3 linked regions of the Diceros bicornis minor genome follow. The protein of the gene in region 3 purifies or fractionates together with the protein of the main gene of each other region. This does not show direct contact. Links are inferred from orthologs where the notes say so. Each region holds a gene or a part of one and is shown on either strand. Other genes may lie near its edges. The genes, in order: MAGED2, NAP1L5 and NAP1L1.

The links.
Region 1: the proteins of NAP1L1 (region 3) and MAGED2 purify together in Homo sapiens (affinity purification with mass spectrometry; 4 studies listed by BioGRID and IntAct, counting the BioPlex papers as one, with this or other methods). This does not show direct contact. The link is inferred for Diceros bicornis minor from reciprocal best matches to the Homo sapiens genes NAP1L1 and MAGED2.
Region 2: the proteins of NAP1L1 (region 3) and NAP1L5 purify together in Homo sapiens (affinity purification with mass spectrometry; 3 studies listed by BioGRID and IntAct, counting the BioPlex papers as one, with this or other methods). This does not show direct contact. The link is inferred for Diceros bicornis minor from reciprocal best matches to the Homo sapiens genes NAP1L1 and NAP1L5.

The regions. Positions count from the first base shown.
Region 1 is NC_080781.1:45,253,120-45,260,934, forward strand, and holds the start of MAGED2 (melanoma-associated antigen D2), read left to right. Parts: upstream 1-4,779; 5' UTR 4,780-4,846; intron 4,847-5,392; exon of another isoform or gene 5,393-5,469; intron 5,470-6,353; 5' UTR 6,354-6,382; coding exon 6,383-6,427; intron 6,428-6,822; coding exon 6,823-7,296; intron 7,297-7,815. UniProt on the Homo sapiens protein: Regulates the expression, localization to the plasma membrane and function of the sodium chloride cotransporters SLC12A1 and SLC12A3, two key components of salt reabsorption in the distal renal tubule.
Region 2 is NC_080747.1:72,637,167-72,644,305, forward strand, and holds NAP1L5 (nucleosome assembly protein 1-like 5), read right to left. Parts: upstream 2,553-7,139; 5' UTR 2,506-2,552; coding exon 1,978-2,505; 3' UTR 533-1,977; downstream 1-532.
Region 3 is NC_080764.1:43,366,265-43,373,806, reverse strand, and holds the start of NAP1L1 (nucleosome assembly protein 1-like 1), read right to left. Parts: upstream 3,034-7,542; 5' UTR 2,929-3,033; intron 1-2,928. UniProt on the Homo sapiens protein: Histone chaperone that plays a role in the nuclear import of H2A-H2B and nucleosome assembly.

The sequences.
Region 1 (7,815 bases), on a different chromosome or scaffold from region 3:
CTTTATGTTGATCTCACAACAATGAAATAATTATATTTCCTATGACACTTTATGACAATATTAAAATGGGTGTATAGACGTCCAGTTCGACTTGCCTCCACAGAAGAAAATCATCATATGTTTATGAAGAGAGTTGGAAAGGATTTTCTGGGACTTCAAACATCGGCGGTAGTAGAGCATAGTGGGGAAGGCTCTGGTATTTGGCATTGCACTGACCTGGATTCAAGTCCTCTCTCTGTCATTTGCTAGTTGCTTTGCTATAGGCAAGTTACCTCCCTCAGTCCCAATTTGGTCTTCTGTAAAATGAGGTTAATGTTCATACAGTAGAAATGTAAGCCCCTGAAGAGCAAGGACCACCTCTGTAGAGGTGCCTAATACGTAGTTGGTGCTCAATATCTGTTGACTGGCCCGAACCTGCCTCACAGGCATGTGCTGAGGAAGGACTCAATGTGCAAAGAGCAGGGGAGAAGGAGTGTTAGCCCAAAAGTGGGTAGCCAGTTTCCTCATCTATGGGAAATTTGCCTTTGGTTTAACAAAATGTAGCCATTTTGGTTGTGGAAAGATAGCCCTCAGGGTTCAGAGTGATACAAAATGTATTAATTGTCCTGCACATAAAAGGAAGAAAAAAAATGATATTCCACCAGCAACTCAAGAGAGAGGATATAGGAGCCTGGAAATGGAAAGGAGGGGAGGTGCCCCGTCCGTATTTTGGGGGACAGAAAGGGCCCAACTACAATGGGGAGTGGGGCCCAGGAGAAGGGACAGTTATTAGGCCTTTCCCAGTGGTGGGAATGGCTGAGGAAATGCGAAGAACAGGAAAGTCTGATGTCCAATTTTAAGTTGATTGCTATGGTGTGCTGTACGACTTAGACGACTACAGAAGTGATAGGTAGCTTTGGGAGGAAACTTTTGCCACCTACTCCAAGCTTTACCTCTGTATATTCCAAAATTTTCAGAATTTTGGAAAATTAAGAGGTACTGATTTTGTATAGTTTAGAGGAAGGAAAATGTGTTAGGAGAAGATTGGTGGCGGGTATATTCTGGGCTTCCCATTTAAGCTTCAGGGGTCTGAAATCTTGGATGTTCTGGGATTAGGCAACTTTATCCCCTGACACTCTGCACTAAGCAATCTTTAGCCTGCTTTTCCTCATCTTCTTAACAGAGATGCCTGATGATAACTCAGCTTTTCATCTTTGCCCTTAGTTGATATGCAGGATCTATATGATCTCAGGTATTTACCTGCTGATCTATGAATGTTGGAAACTGATCTGGGACCCAGTGACCTAAGTTCTTCAGAGTTTATGGGTAGATGCTGAAGATCAAAAGATTCCAGGAGTTCATAAGGAGAAGGTGAGAGGAAATCTCTTTGGTAAAAGGGTGAAGATTATGAATGAATTTTTCTTTTCTCTCTTGATAAGGTTTTCTCTTGTCCTCTGATCCCCAGGTCATAAGATAAGGGTAGTTATAGTATTGTGTTATGAAGGTGGTGGTATTGAGAAGGGACTGGGAAGGTTGGCTTTGAAAATCTGTGGGAATACCTCTCTGATGGACTTGGACTGAGATTTTTCCCGAGTCCCTTGAATCTCCTAAGGTTCTGACTCTGTATTCCTTTAAAGTTACTCCAGGATCCCAAAGGCCACAACTAGGACTTAAAATGCTATAGAATTTAAAATGGTGGATGTTGTAACAGAGGGTAGATGTAACAGAGGGTGTTCCATGGGGAAGAAATCGTATGAGCAAAGGCTCCTAAGCAAGAGAAGGCAGGGTACATCTGGTAATAGCAAAGTGTTTTGTTTTGTTGGAATACAGGTAGTGCTCAGAAAAACAGAAAGAAAAAGGCTGGAAAAGGAATCAGAACTAAATTTTGGGAGAGCCTTGAAATCAGGCTCAGGCATTTCTTTAAAGAGTTGTCATCACGCACTCATTGTCATGAATACTTCACCTGCCACTCACATCTCAACTCACTACAATCATGAAACTGCTGCATGGCATAGACTTCCAAATAACAATGGTTTAAATAAGACATACCTGTGTTTATCTCACCTAAAAGAAATCCAGAGGTATGCAATCCAAAGTTGGTATGGTGGCACTATGATATTATTAGAGATCCAGGTTCTTTTTAGTTTACTGCTGCACTATTCTTAGGGTGTGACTCTTGTCCTTATGACGTTTATCCCAGGAGGCTATGTGTTCAGCTAAAAATCACATGTTCTATTACTAAGGAAGAAGAAGAGAATGGATATACTGGTATAAGCAGTTAGCAATCTATGCCACAAATGTCTGTACTGAAATTATTCCCTCTGAGGTCACCAGGGACCAGACCACCACCTGATTATTAAAATCCCTAGATATTTTTTCAGGACTGTTCTTGACCTCTTGGTAACATTCAACACTATTGACCCCTTCCTCCTTTTGAAACATTCTCTTTCCTTGTTTTTGTGACACTACTTTCTTCTGCTTTTCTCCCTATCTCCTTGGTCACTACTTACCCATCTCTCTCATGGGCTCCTTTTCCTCCACCTATGCCCGGAGTCGGTGGTCTCCAGGGTTATTCCTTGGGCCCCATCTCTTCTAAGACTGCACACTCTTCCCAGGTGCTCTTGCCCTTTCCCACGGATTAAAGAACCATTTACATACTGATGACTCCTGGATCTATAACCTTAGCCCAGACCGCTTTCCTGAGCTTCAGATATCTATATCCAACTGCCTGTGAGACATTTCCACTTGGATGTCCCACAGGTACCTCAAAATTGATACTCAGTTCCCCTCCGTTAGTATTCCATATCTCAGTGAAAGGGGTCCACACATTTTATCTCTCAAATCAGATCCCCAAGAGTTTCCTTTGACACTTCCCTCCTCCTCACCCCTTCCCTTACCTGGATGACTACTCTCTCTTTCCAGGAAGACAACTAATCCATACTCCTTATGGTTTAGGCAGCTAGGGTGTTCTTTCTAAAACACAAATCTATGTCTTATCCAAGCCTAGAACCCTTCAATAACCTCTCAGTGCTCTCAGGATCAAGACCAAAGTCCTTACCTCGGCATTCAAGGCTTGCCATGATTTGGAAGGGATGGGAACTTGGGGCACTAGAACTGGAAGAAAAGGAGTGGCTGTGTCTAGTATGAAATAAAGCCCTGTGCCCGGGAGAGAGAACCTAGGAGGCAAGAAAGTAGTGAGCTATATCACAAACTTGGAGGAGGCAACAATTCAGGGAAAGAGAGGAGTCAGGAGAAAAGAAACTCACTTTGAATATCTGGGAAGTGTGTGTGTGTGTGTGTGTGTGTGCAGGCATGCGTTGAATTATCCATAGAACATAGGGATTCATGATATTTTATTTGCTTAGTAAAGGAAAAGGTGACCTCATAAAGCAGAAGGTTTATGACCATTTGAATTACTTTTGGATGTAGGAAAGGTATTGAATATTATTTCTGTAACTGACCACTGTGCTAAATTTTATTATGATTTCTAATAATTTTTTACTTGATGCTCTCAGGTTGTCCAGGTCTGCATTAATACACTCTGTAACTAATGACAATTTTTTCTACTTTCCATTATTTATACATCTTATTTTGTTCTCTTTAATAGACCCAGTTACTTATGTGAATTTATTATGATAAAAGTGCCATTTCAAATCAGTGGTGGAAAAGATTGATTAATTTGCATATGGTGTAGGGATAAGACACTATGATTTTGGAAAATAACTAAGCTGAATCCTTATACAAAACAAATTTTGGAATGATCAGACATTTAAATGTAAATGATAAAGCCATAAAAGTGCTTGGGAAAAAGACGGGAATTGTTACAATATAGCAGTGTGGAAAGGATCTCTAAGCATGAAGCAAAATCCAGTCATGATAAAGGAAAACCTGATACATTTCACTACATAATAACTAAATCATTTTGTATAGCAAAGATTACCATAAATAACACGAAAAATACTTGTAATATATGTGACATAAATGTTTGAGAGACGTTGTTGGTGGGAAAGTTATTCCATATACCTTTTGAGAGTAAGTTGACAAATTTTATATCAAAATGGAAAACATTTTTGTAGCACTTGAGTCAGCAAAAAATACCATAAATAACAATAAAAAGAAGCCCAATACAGAGACAAGGATGTTCCTTGTAGTATTATTTGGACAGTAATAGTAAAAAAAACTAAAAGAAAAGAAAAGGAAACAATGCTAAATATCCATGTATCCTGGTCTGATTGAATAAATTATGGGACATCTATACAAGAAAAGATGATGCAGCTGTTCAGAAAAATGCGCACTATGGAAAGCTGTTTAGAACACATAACTGGAAAAAAACTAGGTCTAGAACCTACTAGAACTGTAGGTACAGCGTACCACTTGTGGGGAGAAAACCCAAATAATTAGTTTATGAATAGAAAAAACTCTGGGAGGAATATATATCAAAATGTTAATATTTCTGGGGGATGAGATATGGGTGGTATGTTACATACCAATGAAACACACCTTTCATTGGTATGATACATATTCCTGCATTATTTGAATTTTCACAACGACAACACATTAGCTTTGTAATACGAAAAAATAAAGATATAAAAATAAATACATTCAACGTATGAATCGCTTTGAGGGGGTGGTTTTGGTTGGAAGGGCTTCATACCGAGTCTGGTACAGTGGCATAAACACGGGCTTTGGCGTCAGACGGCCCTGAACCGGGCCCCATTGCCCCACCCCCGAGGAAGGAGGGGGGGTGGCAGGGGGCTGCGGAAAGGGGCTGGGCTGGGCTGGGCTGGCTGCAGCTCTAGTCAGGAGGCTGAGACTTCCAGAGGGACTGAGAGAGGGCAGACGCATCCCGGACTCGCTCGAAGACAAGGTGAGGGGCGTTAAGATTGGGGCTTCCTGGCAGCCAGACAGTGGTTCCAGCCCCCTCGAACCTATAGCCAGGCAAGTGGGCAATTCTTACTGCACCACTGCTGCTAAGGGAGAGGTGACCTGGAATGGGATGTAGGCAACAAGGACGACCGAGAGACTACTGGGGAGCAGAGACTAGTGGAGGAGGAGGGGGAAACAAACGGGGAACTGGGCATGTTGGGTGGCAGACGAAGAATATGAGGAGGAAGAGGAATACTGAGGGAAGTGGAAATCCAGAGAAGAAAATAGAGGATGCAAAGAAGGGTTAAGGAATATTGGAGGAGGGGGTGCAGAGGTAACACGGAGGAGGATGTAAAGAATGGGAATGGGGAATTCGGTGGGGTAAATAGGAAATGCGATGGGGGAATAGGGAGCAGGGAGCAAGGCAGAGGGAATACGGGTGAGGGGGGCGGGATAAAGAATGAGGAGCACAGAGCGGGGGAAGGGCAGACTGGCTGGGACGGAGGCACCCTAGGGAGGCGGAAAGGGGCGGGACCACTTCCGGCCTGGACGGGGGAGGGTAGTCTCTGAGTTTCGGAGGGGCTTGGAGAGAGAGAACGCACTCGGGAATTGCGGACGGACGAGGTGAGCAAGCAGGGCCCTGCTCTGGATCAGAGCCCCGTTAGGGGTCGGCCCCACCCTCTAGGATCTGGAGAAAACCTGCTGTAAGGACCGGATCGTACCGGATCCATCCGGCTGGGAAGGGAGGGGACTGGACCCGGTTTGGCTGGGCCCAAGATGGAATCGGTAGCTCAATACTGATTTGAGGAGGGGGTGTATTAGGGAATGGGCGGAACTAAGAGGCGCTTTGCCCCAGTTTGGAGGGGGGCGTGTTATGAAAAGGGGCGGGACCGGGTGAGTACTGTGGATTTGGTGGGGTGGGTGTGAATAGGGGAGGGGCCGGGACCACCAGACACTGCGACAATTTGAGAGGGAGGCTTGTTGGGGAGGGGGCGGGACCCAATGGTACTGCAGACCTGGAGAGGGGCGTGTGTTGGGACAGCAGGCTGGGCTGCGTCCGTGATCATTGCGCATGCGTACTATGGATCGCTAGAAGGGGGCGTGTAGAGAAGGGCAAGCAGAGACGGGCCAGCTGCCGAATGCGCATGTGCACGGTGGACATCAAAGAAAGGGCTTGTTCTGAGAAAGCAGGCGGGGCTGAGATGGGCCCCTGCAGCGGACGCGCATGCGCACTCTAGACCTGCGCCTGGGGGCGGCGGTGCACTGGGAAAAGGGGCGGGGTCCTCAGAGCTGCCGCGCTGGCACATCTTCCTGGAGAAGGGGAGGGTGCGGCTGCAGAGAATTGAGACTTAGACGCTCTGGATTACTAATCTGTGAACGAAGTCGTTGGGGGTGGGGGAGGGGTTTGGGATTGGGGTCCTGGGGAAGGTGAGGATCAGCCTCCAGGCAGAACAGAAGAGAGAACGTTCAGTGGGCCCTTTCCTTGACCCAGGCCTTCTCTCCTTCAGGTTCAGTGCTTGCCAGGCCAACTTGAGATATGTCTGATACAAGCGAGAGTGGTATGGGCCCAACCCGCTTACAGGTAAGGCCTCCTTCTGTCCTCTCCCTAGCTGCCTTTCCTCTCCAACCCCTGTTGCTGCCCCAAATCCGTTGGCATCTCCCCTCCCATTCTTCCCCTTCTCCACCCACTTCCTTGCCTGGGTGCCCCCTACCCCAGTAGAGAGAGAGAGAAAGGGAGAGAGAGAGGAAGGAAAGAGGGAGGGAGGAAGGAAGGTGGGAGGAAGGGAGGGCAGGCCTGCCCCTCTTTTGCCATCAGTTCCTGCTCAGAGGAAGGGGAGGCCTTGTTGGGCTGAGGTGGTCAGAGCACACTGCAAGGGGTTAGTATAGGTCAGAAAAGTGAGGCCCTGGAATTTTGGAGCCGTTTGCCTAGTTGGGGGTAGGGAGAATGTCTGTGAGCTTCCCTGTTTCCTCTTGTAGGTTGATGCTTCAGAAGAGGACAGTGGCTTGAAGATGCAGACCCTATTGACAGTGACCCAGAACTTGGAGGTCTCAGAGACACCGAAGGCCTCAAAGGCACCAGAAGTCTCAGAGGCTGTGAAGGTTTCGAATGCTGCAGCCGTGTCAAAGGCCACAGAGGCTGAGGAGGCAGCTGCCACTCAGGCCTCACCTACCACTAAGCTGACTGATACCCAGGTTCTGGCAGCTGAAAAGACGAGTCGAGCAGCTGACACCAAGATGCAGAATGCTGACCCTCAGGCTGTGACAGTGCCTGCCACTGAGACCAAAAAGGGCAGCTGTGTGGCTGATGCCAAGGTCAATACAAAGGCTCTGGAGACTGAGGCTGTTGCCTCTCAGGCTCTGGCAGATGAACCTGAGCCTGAGGGTGCAGCTGCCCAGGCTCGGGAGAATCAGGATACTCGGCCCAAGATCAAGGCCAAGAAAGCCCGAAAGGTAAGACCTCTGCAATCATCACCCTTACCTTTCCACTTCTCTCTTCTTAGTTGGTTCATTTGTTCTGCAAACGTTTAGAAAGTTCCCTGTGCTCATCAAGGCTGTGGGAGACACTAAGAGGACTATGATATAATTATATGATTCCTGTCTTCAGAGAGCCCACAAATTGGTGGGGAGATGAGACAGGAATATGCACAGCTTCAATCTGAATGTAATGCGGTTTACATTTACATAGTAGCTACCATGTGTTAGGCCTTGGGCTAGGCACATTCACACAGGTTATCTCATTAAATCCTGAAAGTTATCCAGTTTTATAGAGAAGGAAACTGAGTCCCAGAGAAGTGAAGTGACTTGAGTGATTGGTCCAGAGTGGTATAATCAGAGCCAGTGGTGGACATAGGAAGAGGAGAAGCCTCTGGCCCTACCCTTGGGTTGCTCCTGGCCTGGTGGGGAGATGAAACTCCTACTAGGAAACCAGTGAAAGACAAACCCAAGACTCAACATGGCCAATGTGTAGTG
Region 2 (7,139 bases), on a different chromosome or scaffold from region 3:
TACTCAACTATTGCCATTAGCATAGGTCAGAGCTGCCTTCCATTCCCTAAGGTAAAGCAGTCTAAATTTTGCTTTTGTCTAATTTTAACTCTTAAGGGAAATGGAAGAAAATGCATCTGAGTTTTAAAAATTTTTTGGAGTCTTTAATTTTATTATTATTTGTACTTCATTCAGAATGCCCAAATGTAAAGTTGAAATAGCATTTTTTTGTATATTCATAATGTCACATGAAAGCCTTTTTATCCTTTCTGGGAGGATATCAAAACCTGATTTTTATATTGAGGAAACCAAAACAAGATAGGTTTTTGAATTTCCTGTGTTTCTGAATTAAAGGCCACATTTTTCTCTGACAATAACGAAGCATAAACTTAAGAATATAACGATGTCCATTTTCTTCTCTTTTGTAACTAGAGAGACAAGGAGGATTGAATTTCCAATCAGTGTCTTTATCTTTCATGTAGTAATAATAATAATAGTGATAGCTGAAATTTCTGCAGCACTTAGTATGTTCTGTGGGCTTTTATGTGTATTAACTCACTTGTTCTCCATAATAACCCGTGAGGAAGGGACTGTTACTATGCCCTTTTCTAGATGAGGAGAAACTAAACACAGAGAGATTAAGTGAATTGCCCAAGATTCATTGCTAATAGGAGGCAGAGCTGGGATTTGATTCCAGGCAGGCAGAGTACCGAGTCCCTTTGTTTTTGGAAAATACTGCTTTATTAACACCACAGTGGTAAACAACTTTATGCTTATGTTTATAGATCACTGGGTCACAGGCAATTCAAAATCCACAAAGAAGCTAAGAGTCTTTATATTAAATGTGTCCTTCCTAAAAATCCTTGACTGTATGCCAGTCTATCCTCAAGCAGTAAAATTTGATTATGCACCATTTTATATTTAATATGTCACATTTACGTAGCAAAATAATGAAGGCACAGCTAATACAAGCAAACTTAAACCCTTTCTACTTCTGAGCTGGGGGTGGGGACACACACTTGGATTGGTTCTTCAAGTATATATTTTTTCCAAACATTAGCTTCAGTGAAAAGTTCTGATAATTTTCACAGCTACATTTTAAAAGCTACAGGACAAAAAGACTTTACAAGGATCAAACTACATAACACTGGATACACATGCTTGACAGAATTTGCTACGTTCTACATCTCTTCAAGTAAATTAATATTTCTAAAATGCTAGGTAAAGGGATTTAATACTTAAACATTTGGGGTTTTTTTTTTTACACTTTTGTAAAGAGACACTACCCAGAAAACACATAAATATGACACTGTAAATAATGAACACATTATTGTTGACAATATTATACAGGTTATACACCCTCCTTCTCAGAACCATGTTGTTTCTCTAAATTCAAATATTCAGAACATTCTTTAGAATTTGAAGTGGCAGTTTTCCAGGCTTATTAACAATACTGTCGTGATCTCCATCACACACTTGGTTCCATCACTCTTCTAAGTGTAAAGCTGATGTCTGGGTTACAAAAGCAAAGTCTTAAAGATGGGACTTTTCTTGGGTTCTGGACTGGAAAATTTCAGGACTAATGAAGAATTAGGCATTGAGAACATGTTCAGTCTTGGCTTGGGTGTTCCGTGTGTAATGTGATGATAGTGTGATGAATGAGTCTCAAAGTGACATTCTTTACTTCACATCTACGTGACACCCTTAATAAGCCTCAGTTCCAGTCCTCAAGAAGACATCATGAAAAAATTATTTTAAACACATTTTCTTTAACATCTTTTGATATATTTGTGTTCCAAATGAAAATCAAATTTGAAACGGGCTGGCCAGGATCTGATTGCTTCAATTTAATATATTTTTGGGAATGTCAGGATTGATTCACATTGTATTTTGGTCCAAAACCTGAGCCTTTTTTAAGTCCACCCATATATACATAATATTTTTAAAAAGTAGCGTTTTTGTCTTCGTCGTCATTCTGCTCTTCAGTCTCTGCCCCGCTTATTTTCTGGCGTCATCAGACAAGGCAGAGTGGGGACCCTCACCTTTGGCACCCTCCGCCGCAGCCTCCCCCTCCTCCTCTTCCTCCTCTCCCTCCTCCTCATCCTCGTACTCCTCGTCGTCGTCCTCCTCTTCCTCACCCTCTAAGGTCCATACACATCCCTCCATCTCACCGGTGAGCTCTTGGATCTTAGCAAGTAAGGGCTTATAGATGTCATTATACTTTTTCTCCAGAGCCTGAAATTCCTTATCAAATTTGGCTTCTATCTTATCGCATCGCTTCTGCAGCTTTTTGAGGGCCAGGACTCGGCATTTTACCGAGTTAGGCAGGCTCTCGATAAAGTCATTTTTAGGCTTTGGTGCATTCTCGGCAGGGGTCTGGGGCTCCTCTGCCGTCTGACCGGCCGCGCTGTCAGAGTCGCCCGTCTGCGCACCACCTTCCGCCATTACCTCCTCCGCCGCCGCCGCCTCTGCCGGCGCCGCCGCCGGGCTGGGCTCGGCTGGCCCCTGGTTCTCCGCGTCTGCCATGTCGGAGGAGAAGCCGCAGTGTCGGGGCTCCCGCAGAGACCCGCGCCGGAGCTGCTCCGGGCGATCTGGCGGATGCGGCAAGAGGCCGTGACGTCGGCGGCGGCCGTGACGTCGGCGGCGGCCCCGCCCTCGGGACTCCGGCCGCTGACTGGCTCCGGGACGGCTGACTGCCGTGCCCACTGCTGCGCCGGCTCTCCGCTGTTGCTACCCTGCGGGCTCCCGGGCATTGCCGCCGACGTCAGAGCCCGTTTCTTGGATACCCCGCCCGCAGTCGGCCCGCGTACCTGCGCCCCTGTGGAGCCGGTGTGGGAATGGCTGCGGGGGCCGAGGCTCTGTCTCAGGAACCGCTTGGCTGGCTTCAGCCTTTTTCAGTTTGCTCCTCTGTCCCACCCAGGTCCTTGTATACATCTATCTGTCAGTACGTCTGTCTTGGCCGTTGTCCGCATCTACCCGGGGCTGGTGTTGGTTTGCCGTGGTAGGGTGTCTCTAGCTTACTCTTGTGGGGTCGGTTTGGGCACCTCTCAGCTTCCTCCGAATTCCGTTCCAGAATGTGGAGGCACGGGAGAGCTGACTCCATTCCACCCGCTCTGGGACCTGGGTGCATGTGTGTGGGTGGGCAGCTTGCATGTCACTGTGCCCACCCAGCAGCCCCCTTGGCCGTTTCTCAGCCTAGCGGCATATATCCTGGTGGCGAGGTCTTGTCTCGGCAGGACGGACCCCGGAATCACTTTGGGAGCCGTGTGGATGGGGAGCCTCAGGACCCCGGGTATCCTGGAATGTGTTTGAGGAGGTCCCTCAGTGTCCTTGGCCTGTGGGGAGGGATAAAGCTGGAGGAGGGCCAAAGACCGGCAGGGCCCTCCAAGGCCTGCGGCCCAGCGCGGGGGCCGCGGCTTACCCGCTGAAGCGTGTGCTTAGTCCTGCGGTTCCCTGGGGACATGCGGCAGACACGTGTACACACAGCCGCTGTCCCCAGAGCGTTCCACAGCTCAGCATCTGCTCTGTGCGTCTGGCCTGTGATTTGTATCTGAGAACATAAGAAAAAGATCTTGAATAGCCAGCGAACTCTTGTATTTTAATAGCAAAGTGAGTAGATATTTTAGTTCTTTACTTTGTTTATTAAACCAAAACGATAGCTTCTTAAATAAGGATGAGGGCACATATTTGAGGTATAGAAGACAAATGATCCTTCCAGAAATTCCTCAGAAATGTCTTCAAATTCAGCATTCCTGATTTAAATGCTTTTCTTGCACTATATTGAGACTTGCTGAAACTTTTTCACCAAGCATATGAAATGTTAGGAAATTACTTCCCAATATACATTTCGTGCTATCTTTTGTGTCTTGTGAATATTACGTAGTTAATAATATGTAAAACACTTAATGCTGACACACAGCAAGCACTTGATAAATGTTTTGGTTTTTTTTTAACAAAATAATTGCATTTATTAATATGCAAAGATAACCTGCAATAATATTCTCTTTTAGAAAAGGACATCTTTGTGCCCTTCCCCAAAGAAAGTAACTGTTTACAAAAGACCCAATATATTCCCCCTAGCAAACATCGTAGTTTTTTATGTACGTGTGATTTCTGTTGTTTATTTTACTTTCTTGATTCTGTTCCGGATCATTTATTTTCCCCCCTTGCCTGTTACCATTTGTAATGACTGAGTTTTATTGCTAAGGCTAAAATTTCCATCTTAGACCTGACTGAATTTGGTGTAATGGTATGTCTATATTTAGTTGGCTGACACTATACGTATTCCATATATCACCATATATTTCATATATCATCTCTTGATGGCTACAGCTACGTTGAGGTTAGGAATGCTTTTTCTCATTTTAAAGATAAAGAACTTAGAAGCAGAAAAATAAAGTGAAGTAAATATTCTGTTACTGTATGTATCACCTGATTGGCAGAATCAGGGGCAGAAACCAAGCCTTCTAACTCCTATAGTATAGAAGTTGTGACAGATTTGAAAAAAAGCCCAAATTTTAATCAAATCCGTTTGACTAACTTGCTTGAGACAACCTGAATGTGCTCATCTTTCACGATTTTTATGTTCTCATCTTGAAAAATCTTAAAACTTAGTTTTAAGCTAGGCTACTTTTTTCCAAAGGTCTGTTTTATTGAAATATAATTTATGTGTAATAAAATTCACCCTCTTTAGGGTGCTTTGACAAATAAATACAGTTAGGTAAACACTGCAGTAATCAAGATGTAGCACAGTAACTTTATCCCAAAAAATTCCTTCATGGTCCTTTCCTTACTGCCAGCCCCGGTGACCACTGATCTGTTTTCTGTCTCTATAATTCTGTTTTTTTCCAGAATGTCATATGAAAGGAATCATATGTATGTAGACTTTGCGAGTGGCCTTTTTCACTTAGCATAATGCATTTGAGATTCATCTGTGGTGTTGTGTCTATTAATAGTTTGTTCCTTTTTATTACTGAATAATATTCCAGTTTGGGTTGTTTCCAGTTTTTTGTGGTTTTGAATAATGCTGTGATGAACATTCATCTACAGGTTTCTGTGTGAATGTAAATTTTAATTTCTCTTGGGTAAATACCTAGAAGTGGAATTGCTGGATCATATGGTACATGGAGGTTTAACTTTTTAAGAAACTTCCACACTGTTTTCCTAAGTGGCTGTACCAATTTATTTTCTCACCAGCAATATATGAGAGTTGTAGTTGCTCCCCATCCTCACCAGCATTTAGGGTCATTGGTTTTTTCCCTAATCTAATAGCTGTGATGGTATCGTTAATGATTAATGATATTGAATATCTTCAAATGTGCTTACATGCCATTCATATGTCTTCTTTGTTAAAATGTTTGTTTAGATCTTTTGCCCATTTTCTAAATTGAGTTTTTTGCTTTCTTAGTAGTTTTTAAATGTTTTTATATATTCTGGATACAAGTCATTTGTGAGATAAGTTTTATAAACTTTTTCTTCCAGTCCGTGGCTTGTCTTTTCATTTTTGTGACAGTGTCTTTAAAAACCAGACATTTTTTTTTTTTTTTGGTGAGGAAGAGTGGCCCTGAGCTAACATCTGTGCCCATCCTCCTCTATCTTGAATGTGGGATGTCTGCCACAGCGTGGCTCGATGAGTGGTGTGGGTCCATGCCTGGGATCTGAGCCTGAGAACCTCAGGCCACCGAAGTGGAGCACGCTGAACTTAACCACTGCACCACCAGGCTGGCCCCAGAAATTTTTTGATAAATCCATTTTTAAAATTTTTCTTTTATGGATTATGCTTTTGGTGTCACATCTAAGAAATCTTTGTCGAATCCAAGGCCGTAAAGATTTGTTCCTATGTTTTCTTCTGTAAGTTTTATACTTTTGTTTCAAATTTAGACTATGATTCATATTGAGTTAACTTTTATGTAAGTGTGAGGTATATGGATATATATGTTTTGCATATGGATATCCTGTTGATCTAGTATCATTTATTGAAAACACTATCTTTTCTCCACTGAATTTATTTTGCAAATTTGTCAAAAATTAATTGACCATATACATTGGGTCTGTTTCTAGACTTTCTTTTCTGTTGCCTTGATTTAGAGCCATACCTCGTTTTATTGCACCTCACTTTATTGTGCTTCGCAGATACTGAGTTTTTTACAAGACCCTCCACCACCCAAAAGATAATGATTTGCTTGAAGGTTCAGATGATGGTTAGCATTTTTTAGCAATAAAGTATTTTTTAATTAAGATATGTACATTGTTGTTTTAGACATGATGCTATTACACACTTCATAGACTACAGTATAGTGTAAACATAACTTTTCTATGCACGGGGAAACCAAAAAATTTGTGTGATTCACTCTATTGCGATATTAACTGTATTGTGGTGGTCTGGAACCGAGCCCACAGTATCTCCGAGGTATGCCTGTATGTGTCTCTCCTTTCACAGATACCACCCTTGATAACTGTAGCTTTATAATAATGTCATGAAATTAGGTAATGTGAGTCTTCTTTGTTCTTTTTCAAAACTGTTTTGGCTCTTCTAGTTCCTTTGCCTCTCTGTATAAATTTTGGAATCAGCTTGACAAACTTTTTAAAAGATCCTTACTACAGTTTGGATTCAGACTTCTAAAAACCATTGGCAATGCATACAGTACCTGCTTTTTTAAATTTACGTGTTCAAAAGATTATGTCAGTTTGTTAAGAGTTGTCTCATTTTGTGGGCTCTATGGACTCTAGTGTGTAATTGGGTAGCAGTAACACATAGTTGTGTATATTGTAGATGAGCTCTTGTGCTATGAGGTCTTTATCTCAGCATGTTGTAATTTTTTTTTTTAATTAAAAAAAAATTTTTTTTTTTGTGAGGAAGATCAGCCCTGAGCTAACATGCGTGCCAATCCTCCTCTTTTTTTTTTCTGAGAAAGACTGGCCCTGAGCTAACATCCATGCCGATCTTCCTCCACCTTATGTGGGACCCCGCCACAGCACGGCCTGACAAGCGGTGCATTGGTGCGCGCCCAGGATCCAAACCCTGGGCCACCATCAGCGGAGCGCACGCACTTAACCGCTACGCCACGGAGCTGGCCCTGGCATATTGTAATTTCTCACGCTCCTGTCACACTGGAAATGAAAAGAAGCAAGATGGGGGAAGGGAGGACACTTTGGTAAGG
Region 3 (7,542 bases):
CAGAGTTGGTAAGCAGAAGTATAGAGTGCACCTTCATTTTTTTTTTAGGTTTTTTTTTTAATTTTATTTATTTATTTTTCCCCCCAAAGCCCCAGTAGATAGTTGTATGTCATAGTTGCACATCCTTCTGGTTGCTGTATGTGGGACGCAGCCTCAGCGTGGCCAGAGAAGCGGTGCGTCGGTGCGTGCCCGGGATCCGAACCCGGGCCACCAGTAGCAGAGCGCACGCACTTCACCGCTAAGCCACGGGGCCGGCCCTAGAGTGCACCTTCTGCGGGAAGCCCACTAATATGATCTAGTGGTCTGCTGTCAATGTACTAAATAAACAACTTACAAGGATGAGTGAACAAACAGCACTCACCTTCTAAACCCTACTCTGCCCAACAAGGAGAGAACTTCTTATTCAGATGAAATTAGTATGAAATGGGACTTAATATCACCATTATAACAGGATCCTTCATGGAACAAATGTTATAAATACTACTCTATCCCTCACTTGCCCCACTTTCTTTTTCTTCTTAGCACTCATCACAATTTGACATTTTATATTCAGACAACCAATTTGCCTGTTTGGCTCAAGATATAAGGTACAAGTCCAAATAGGTGCTAACATATTTACTCAAAGAATCAACTGGGAACACAAGTAATTAATTACAGGTTTAATTAGACTTAAGGATCTGAATAGATGGATCATTAGTTTTCAAAACTGATCAAGATTCATTTCCTCTAATCTTATCTTTCATTAATATTTCAAAATTACAACAAAGCAAAAAAATGAACAAAGTAATTTTTTGACATCATCTTCATACATTGAAGTCAAACAGATTTTGCCTCTTTTAGCACCTTTTCCTACAAAAGGACTCTATTGAATATATTTTGGGAGTTTAGAATCAAATCAGTCACCCACAGACTATGGGAAAGTTGAATAATAAAATGAGCAATAGCGTTTTGAATTAAATTAGTTCTGGTACAAGTGTTGAGTTTTTTTGTCTTCTCTAATCTCTACAGGATGAGAACAGTCATGGGCCACATTTAGTAACTTATTAGCTTAATAATTTTCTGTCAATAGGCCCAATATCAAAAATAGGTACTTTGCAACAGATGAAATTTACAAAGATTTTCAAACTGGTATGGTGAATTTTTTTTTAAATTCTATTTATCAAATTAACATACCACTAACCCGAAAAAACAATATATGAAGTCAAGGTTTTTATAATGATAGATGTCCAAGTCGACCAACCAAATATTTAGTTCCATCTATCCTCCAAAGGACCAGTCTTAAGAAGTAAATCACACATTTTAGATTTGGGCCCTTAATTTGAACTCCGGCAACTGTGAACAAGCATGAGACTTAATAGTCCCAGAAGATCACTGTAAACCTCATTTACCTCCCATCAGTTTTAAATAAGTTATTCTACATATAAAGTTTTTCCCTTATCCAATCAAAGGTCTATCACTTCCTAAGTAAGTACATAAGTAGTATTAATTAAAGCTGACAAAAATAGAACCTAAATACTAATTTGAAATATTTTAATGCTATTTTCAAAAATGGCAAATTTCATTTTACAGCTCAGCTCTCCTGAAACCAGACAGGCCGTGTTAAGTTGTGAGATTTTAAAGCGCAGTCCTTACAGAACTAACCGGACAGTGATAGTCTACAATAAGGGCTCCTTGAGGACATCCTGTGCCCGATTCATTCTTTCTGTACTCCGCAAGTCCAGCCCTCCCAGACAGGGCCTCCTCATTCCCCGCCTCCCTTCACTGCCTCCTTTTTTGAGGGAGAAGTGAGGGCACTGACAAGGCAGCAGGCTACAAACTTACATTAAGGCCTCATTCCACCCCATACTTCCTCCATACCCCTACTCAGCTTAAAAACAAAACAGCCAGGTAAGTATCTTATTCTGGCAACTTCAATAAGAGAAGTAATTTGTAAGAAAGCAATAGAAGTCTTAGAAAAATTAAAGACATTTCAGGCCTAATCCTTTATTTCTTAGAACCGTTTAGAGGATTAGATTGATTAGGATCAATTCTCCCCAAATAAAAAACTCTGGTCAAAATAACCATCCAAATTCTAACCGTACTTGAAGTACACAAGAAAATCTTTTGTTAATAATGGCTCACATAAGCGCTTTACACGCGGTAGTTCTTTCAAATCGCGGCAGTGGAGGCCCTGCTTCATCACCCATCACCTAACATGCACACTTTCCTCCGTTACCCATAAAAAGATCAGGACCCAAGAAAAGCAAGGGGGAGTCGGAAACCCAAGGGCTGGACTTACGCGCTCACTATTCATTTCCACATCCCACCATCGCTACAACTTTGAGGGAAGTAAGGACAGCCCGGCCGGGGGTCTCCCGTCCGGCCCGGCGGCCACGTGTCGAGGACCGCCGGGGGTTCCCCTCCCGGCGCGGTCGCCGCCCCCGGTGGGCGGGAGCCCGGCCGCCTCACCGCCCCTCCCGCCGCGGGGCCTGGCCCTTCACCGCCCCTCCCTCCCGTCGGAATTCGCAGCCTCCGCCGTTCTTTCCATCCCCCCGCGGCCTCCCTCGGGGTAGTAGTTTGAGAGCGGGGGCGTCGGCCGGCGGTGGGCTGCGCCTCGAGCCGGCCCCCGCCCCGGCGCCTCCCGGTCCCCAGCGGCGCGGCCGCCGCCTCGCTGCCGTCCGCGCGGAGAAACGGTGGGCTCCGGCAGCGCGGCGAGGCCAGCCGGCCCCGGCCCTCCAGGCCGCACCGACCCCGCGTCTCCTCAGCGGGACCCGAAGGGAGCGCCGGCCGGCCGGGGGCCTCTCAGGCTGCGGGGCCGAAACCCCACGGCCGGCTCCGGCTCAGCCTCCAGGAGGCCCGGGCGGCCGGCCGCCCCGCTCTCGGCCCCCGTTCCCCCTCCCCTCCCCGGCCGCCTCTCCGTGCCCCTTCCCCTCAGGCCCCATCCGTTACCAGCGTCTAGCGCGGGGAGCCAGGCGGCCGGAGCTGCGCAGGCAGTGACTCAGGGCGGCGGCGGGAGGAGCGGGAGGCGGCGCCGCGAGCAGATGGCGCTAAAAAAGACCCGAGAGCCCGCCGCTTGCGCTCATATACAATTAGCGTCAGCACGTAGGGCCGACTCCGCGCCCTCCCCCGGCCTCGCCGTCTCCCAGCAACGCGAGCAGGAGGCGGGGCCAGGACGGGTTGCCTAGCAACAGAACCGTCCTTCTTCCCTGGCGACTTCCACAACGTCTGTGCGGCGCTTGGGTTCCTCGGGTTCCCGCCTCCGCCCCGTACGACGCGCCCCGCCGTCTCTTTTCTCCCCGCTGCGCTGGAAGGGAAATTTCAACCCCTTCCGTTCCCGGGAAGGGCCCTGACCTGCGCGCCTCGCCCCCGGCCCACTTCACCCCCTCGGCGCGGTGCTGGGAGGACTGAGGGCGGGGGACCCTGCCCAGTCCCGGCCTGCCGCATCCTGACGACCAGCGCTCTTTCGTGCCTGTCCCTCTCCCGGCCTCGTTCCTGCAACTCCCTGGTCCCCGGTAACCATTTTCTCTCCCCGCCCATTTTTCCCCCTAAGAACAACAGTTCTTTCCTCCTGACCACCTCGGCGGCGTCTTCTGCCGGGTTTGCTTCTTCTAACTCTAGGTCTCTGGGGCTTCGGGGGATGCTCTTCAAACCTACTCCTCCGTCCTTTTATTTGAGGTACGATCCCTCATTTCTGCTTTAGTTCTTTTGATGGGTGAAAATGGCATTTCGGTGTATTCTCTGGATGGTTTATAATGGAGACACTCTATTGTTTCATCTTTCTGAAAATGTAAATCCTTAGGCCTGTGAAACCTCGCGGTTGTCTTTTAATTGATGCTGGATTGACTAATATTGACTCTTAAAACAGTGGTTCTCAAAGTGTGATCCGAGGGTCCCCAGACCCTTTTAAGGGAGAAGTCAAAAGTATTTCCATAATAATACTAAAACGTTATTTGCCTTTTGCACTCTCATTCTCTCACAAGTGTACAGTGGAGTTTTCCAGAGGCTACCTGACATGTGATATGGAAACATTGAAAACAAGCAAATATTGGAATCCAGTCATCTGCTGGATGTCACCAGACATTGAAGAGATTTGCAAAATGGCAAAACAATGCCAGTCTACTCAGTTTTTTTTGTTTGTTTTGGAAACTAGTTTTCATATAAAAGATACTCATGTTAACATTTAATTGGTTTATTGTTTTTAAATGAAACAGTAACTACTCTTAAAATATCTTAATTTTAATTTCTAATCTGATAAATATTAGTTTCTATAATGCCCATAAAAGTTCTTTGGGGACCTCAATTTTAAGAGTGTAAAGAGGTCCTGAGACCAAAAAGTTTGAGAACCTCTTCTCTGAATGTCGCATTCCTTGGAACTTCAAACTGCCTAGAATCCTCTGTTGTAACTCTCACGTTTAGCAACTTTCTATTCCATTTTACAGAGAGGATTTTTTTCCTTGGCACTCTCCAACCCCATTGAAATTAGTTGCCTTTCCCACTCTGCTTCAGATGCCTCAGTTTGGTTTTGGTTCCTCATATATGACTCTTGTTTTTCTCAACCTTCTTTCTTTATATACATCCTACTCGACAATGATGTAAGGCTAACAAGGATGGACATCAGTGATGACTCCTTATGAAGAATCCACAATACATAAACTAGGTAGACCAGTGCTGAATATGTACATAAACTTGGCACTAATTTCAGTGGAACCCTCAAGAGCATTGCATTGTAATCAAAGCTATGCAGAATGCAATGTAATTAGCATATTAAAAATGAACTACATAACTTTCACCTTCATAAATCTTTGTGGTGGCAGAACTTCAGAGACCAAATTGAGAAGTTAGCCTTCATGATAGTTTTTATCCCACTCCAGAGAGCCCCACCAATTTCAGGCATTGATGCTTCAACCCCACTCCCATGTTTAAAGGCTTATCATTACCAGTTTATATTCTCTCTTTCTCCTTTTCTCTAGCCTCCTCTTCCTTCCTCCAGCTTCCTCCTCCCCTTCTTTCAGTGCATCTAGCCAATCTAAGAAACAAAACACTAATAAATTGCTAATAATGCAGGCCTTTTAATGTGATCTTTTGAACCACAGTTTGTAAATCTAAACCTCTACCATTCAAGTTCAGGGAAGGCCAATCATTCAACAAATATCTATATGTCAGGAACAACTTGAGACACCGGAAATACAGCATTGAACAAGGAACGTAAGGTTTTTGATTTTATTGAACTTATGTTCTGGTTAGGTGAGGCAAGTGATAGACAAGTAGTGAAATAATTTTAGATATTAGTGAGTGAAAGAGCTATGAAGAGGGGCCAGCCCGGTGGCATAGTGGTTAAGTGCGCGAGCTCCGCTGCAGCAGCCCGGGGTTCACAGGTTCAGACGCACTGCTTGTCAAGCCATGCTGTGGTGGCGTCCCATATAAAGTAGACAAAGGTGGGCACGGATGTTAGCCCAGGGCCAATCTTCCTCAGCAAAAAGAGGAGGATTCGAGACGGGTGTTAGCTCAGGGCTGAACTTCCTCACACACACACAAAAAAGACCTATGAAGAAAATAAAATGAGACAAAGTGGTAGAAGGTGACTGACCTGAAGATGCCGTTGAGCTTCTCACAATTGACCTCTCTTAGATCCCAAATCACATGATGTATTAACTCATCTAATTTAATTACAATAAGTAGTGGCTCTGATCACTGATCTTGGACCATGCTAAACTTTCAGTTAAAGTTCCTTTTTCCTTCATCCCCCATTATTTGCATTGGTAGATTTTTTTTTTTTTTTTTTTTTTTTTGTGAGGGAGATCAGCCCTGAGCTAACATCCGTGCTAATCCTCCTCTTTTTGCTGAGGAGGACCGGCTCTGAGCTAACATCTGTTGCCAATCCTCCTTTTTTTTTCCCCCAAAGCCCTAGTAGATAGTTGTATGTCATAGTTGCACATCATTCTAGTTGCTGTATGTGGGATGCGGCCTCAGCATGGCCAGAGAAACGGTGTGTGGGTTCGCGCCTGGGATCCGAACCCGGGCCGCCAGTAGCAGAGTGAGTGCACTTAACCGCTAAGCCACGGGGCCGACCCACGTTGGTAGATTTTTACAGCGCTGTATCCTAGTGGTTCAGAAGTGTGGCTCTGGAGTCAAACAGCCCAAGTTCTGTCCCTATTTTGTTGTGAAATTTTAAATAACATGTAAGTTGCCTAACATGATACCTGACATATAGTAAATACTCAATAAAAGTTAAACGATATAAATCTCTTAATGAGGTTTTGTTTTATTTAAAGGTTGAGAGAATTCCCCTGAAGTTTTCTAATAGTATCTGACACTACTATTTTGAAATATTTTATCAGAAGCTATCTTATCATAAATTTTAAAACGTGTTTTCCTGAGCTGAAGTAATCCACACTGATTACCACAAAAGGACTATATTCCACATTTCTAAATGTTGGATGCAGACATTGTAGAGATCAGCCAGACAAGTCAATGATGGATACAATACCTTAAGTGTGCTTGTGTCTGTATTTCAGCCCCTAAGTAGGAAAGTGCATGGGCTTGAAAGTCAGGCGTGGGTTCATCCCAACACTGTGACCTCACAAAAGTACTTACACACTCTGACCTTTAGGCTTCCCCATCTGTGAAGCACATTAATGATTCTAATAAAATCTGCCGCTTCATTAGCGTGAAATAGAGAAATATATGTAAGCCAAGCCTCCAGAGCAATGACTTGTACATTAAGTACTCAATAAATGTTCATTTTCTTCCCTCCCAATTACTCAGTATGTAAAATATCTAATGGCACCAATAATAATCATCTAAAAACTGCACAAATTACATTTAAATAACTGTTATCTTAGTTTTTAATCTGGTTGGTTTTATTTTTTTCCATTTTTTCCCAATTATTATATAAATGCAACATAAAATTAATCAAAATTCCAGTAAGGAATTGTGGACAAGTTGCCTTAAATTTCTTCCTGTACATCCCAAAATGGATTAATAGATTTTTTCGTTTGAAAATTATTTTGGTATCACTTTTAATTGAAGTTTTTATTGAAATGATTGTAGATTCGCACGCAGTTGTACAAAATAACACAGATCCGTGTAAACTTTACCTAGTCTACTATGATGGTAACAACAGTCCACAGTCTTATTCAGATTTCCCCAGTTTCGCTTGGATCCACTTATATGTGTTTGTGTGTTTAGTTCTATACAGTGTTATCACATGTGTAAGTTTATATCTATCACTATAGGGGAGATACAAAACAGTTCCCTCACCTCAAGGATCCCTTCTGTTGCCTTTTTATGACTTTTTTTTCTAATTTACATGCCAAATATGGTTCTACCTTCCCAGATTTTACTTTTTTTTCCTTGTTTCTCACAAATAGACCACTTAGGCAGAAAATAGACCATTCCTTTATGTGGGTCTTCAACATTTCTTACCTGAACTATTTGCAGTAGCCTTGCAATTGGTCTCCCTTATGCCAGTCTCTTACTCCTTCTGATCTACATTGCCAAAGCCGAGGTCTAAAACACAAGTCTACTCAAGTCTGCTATGTCATAAAACCGTCAATGGCTTTT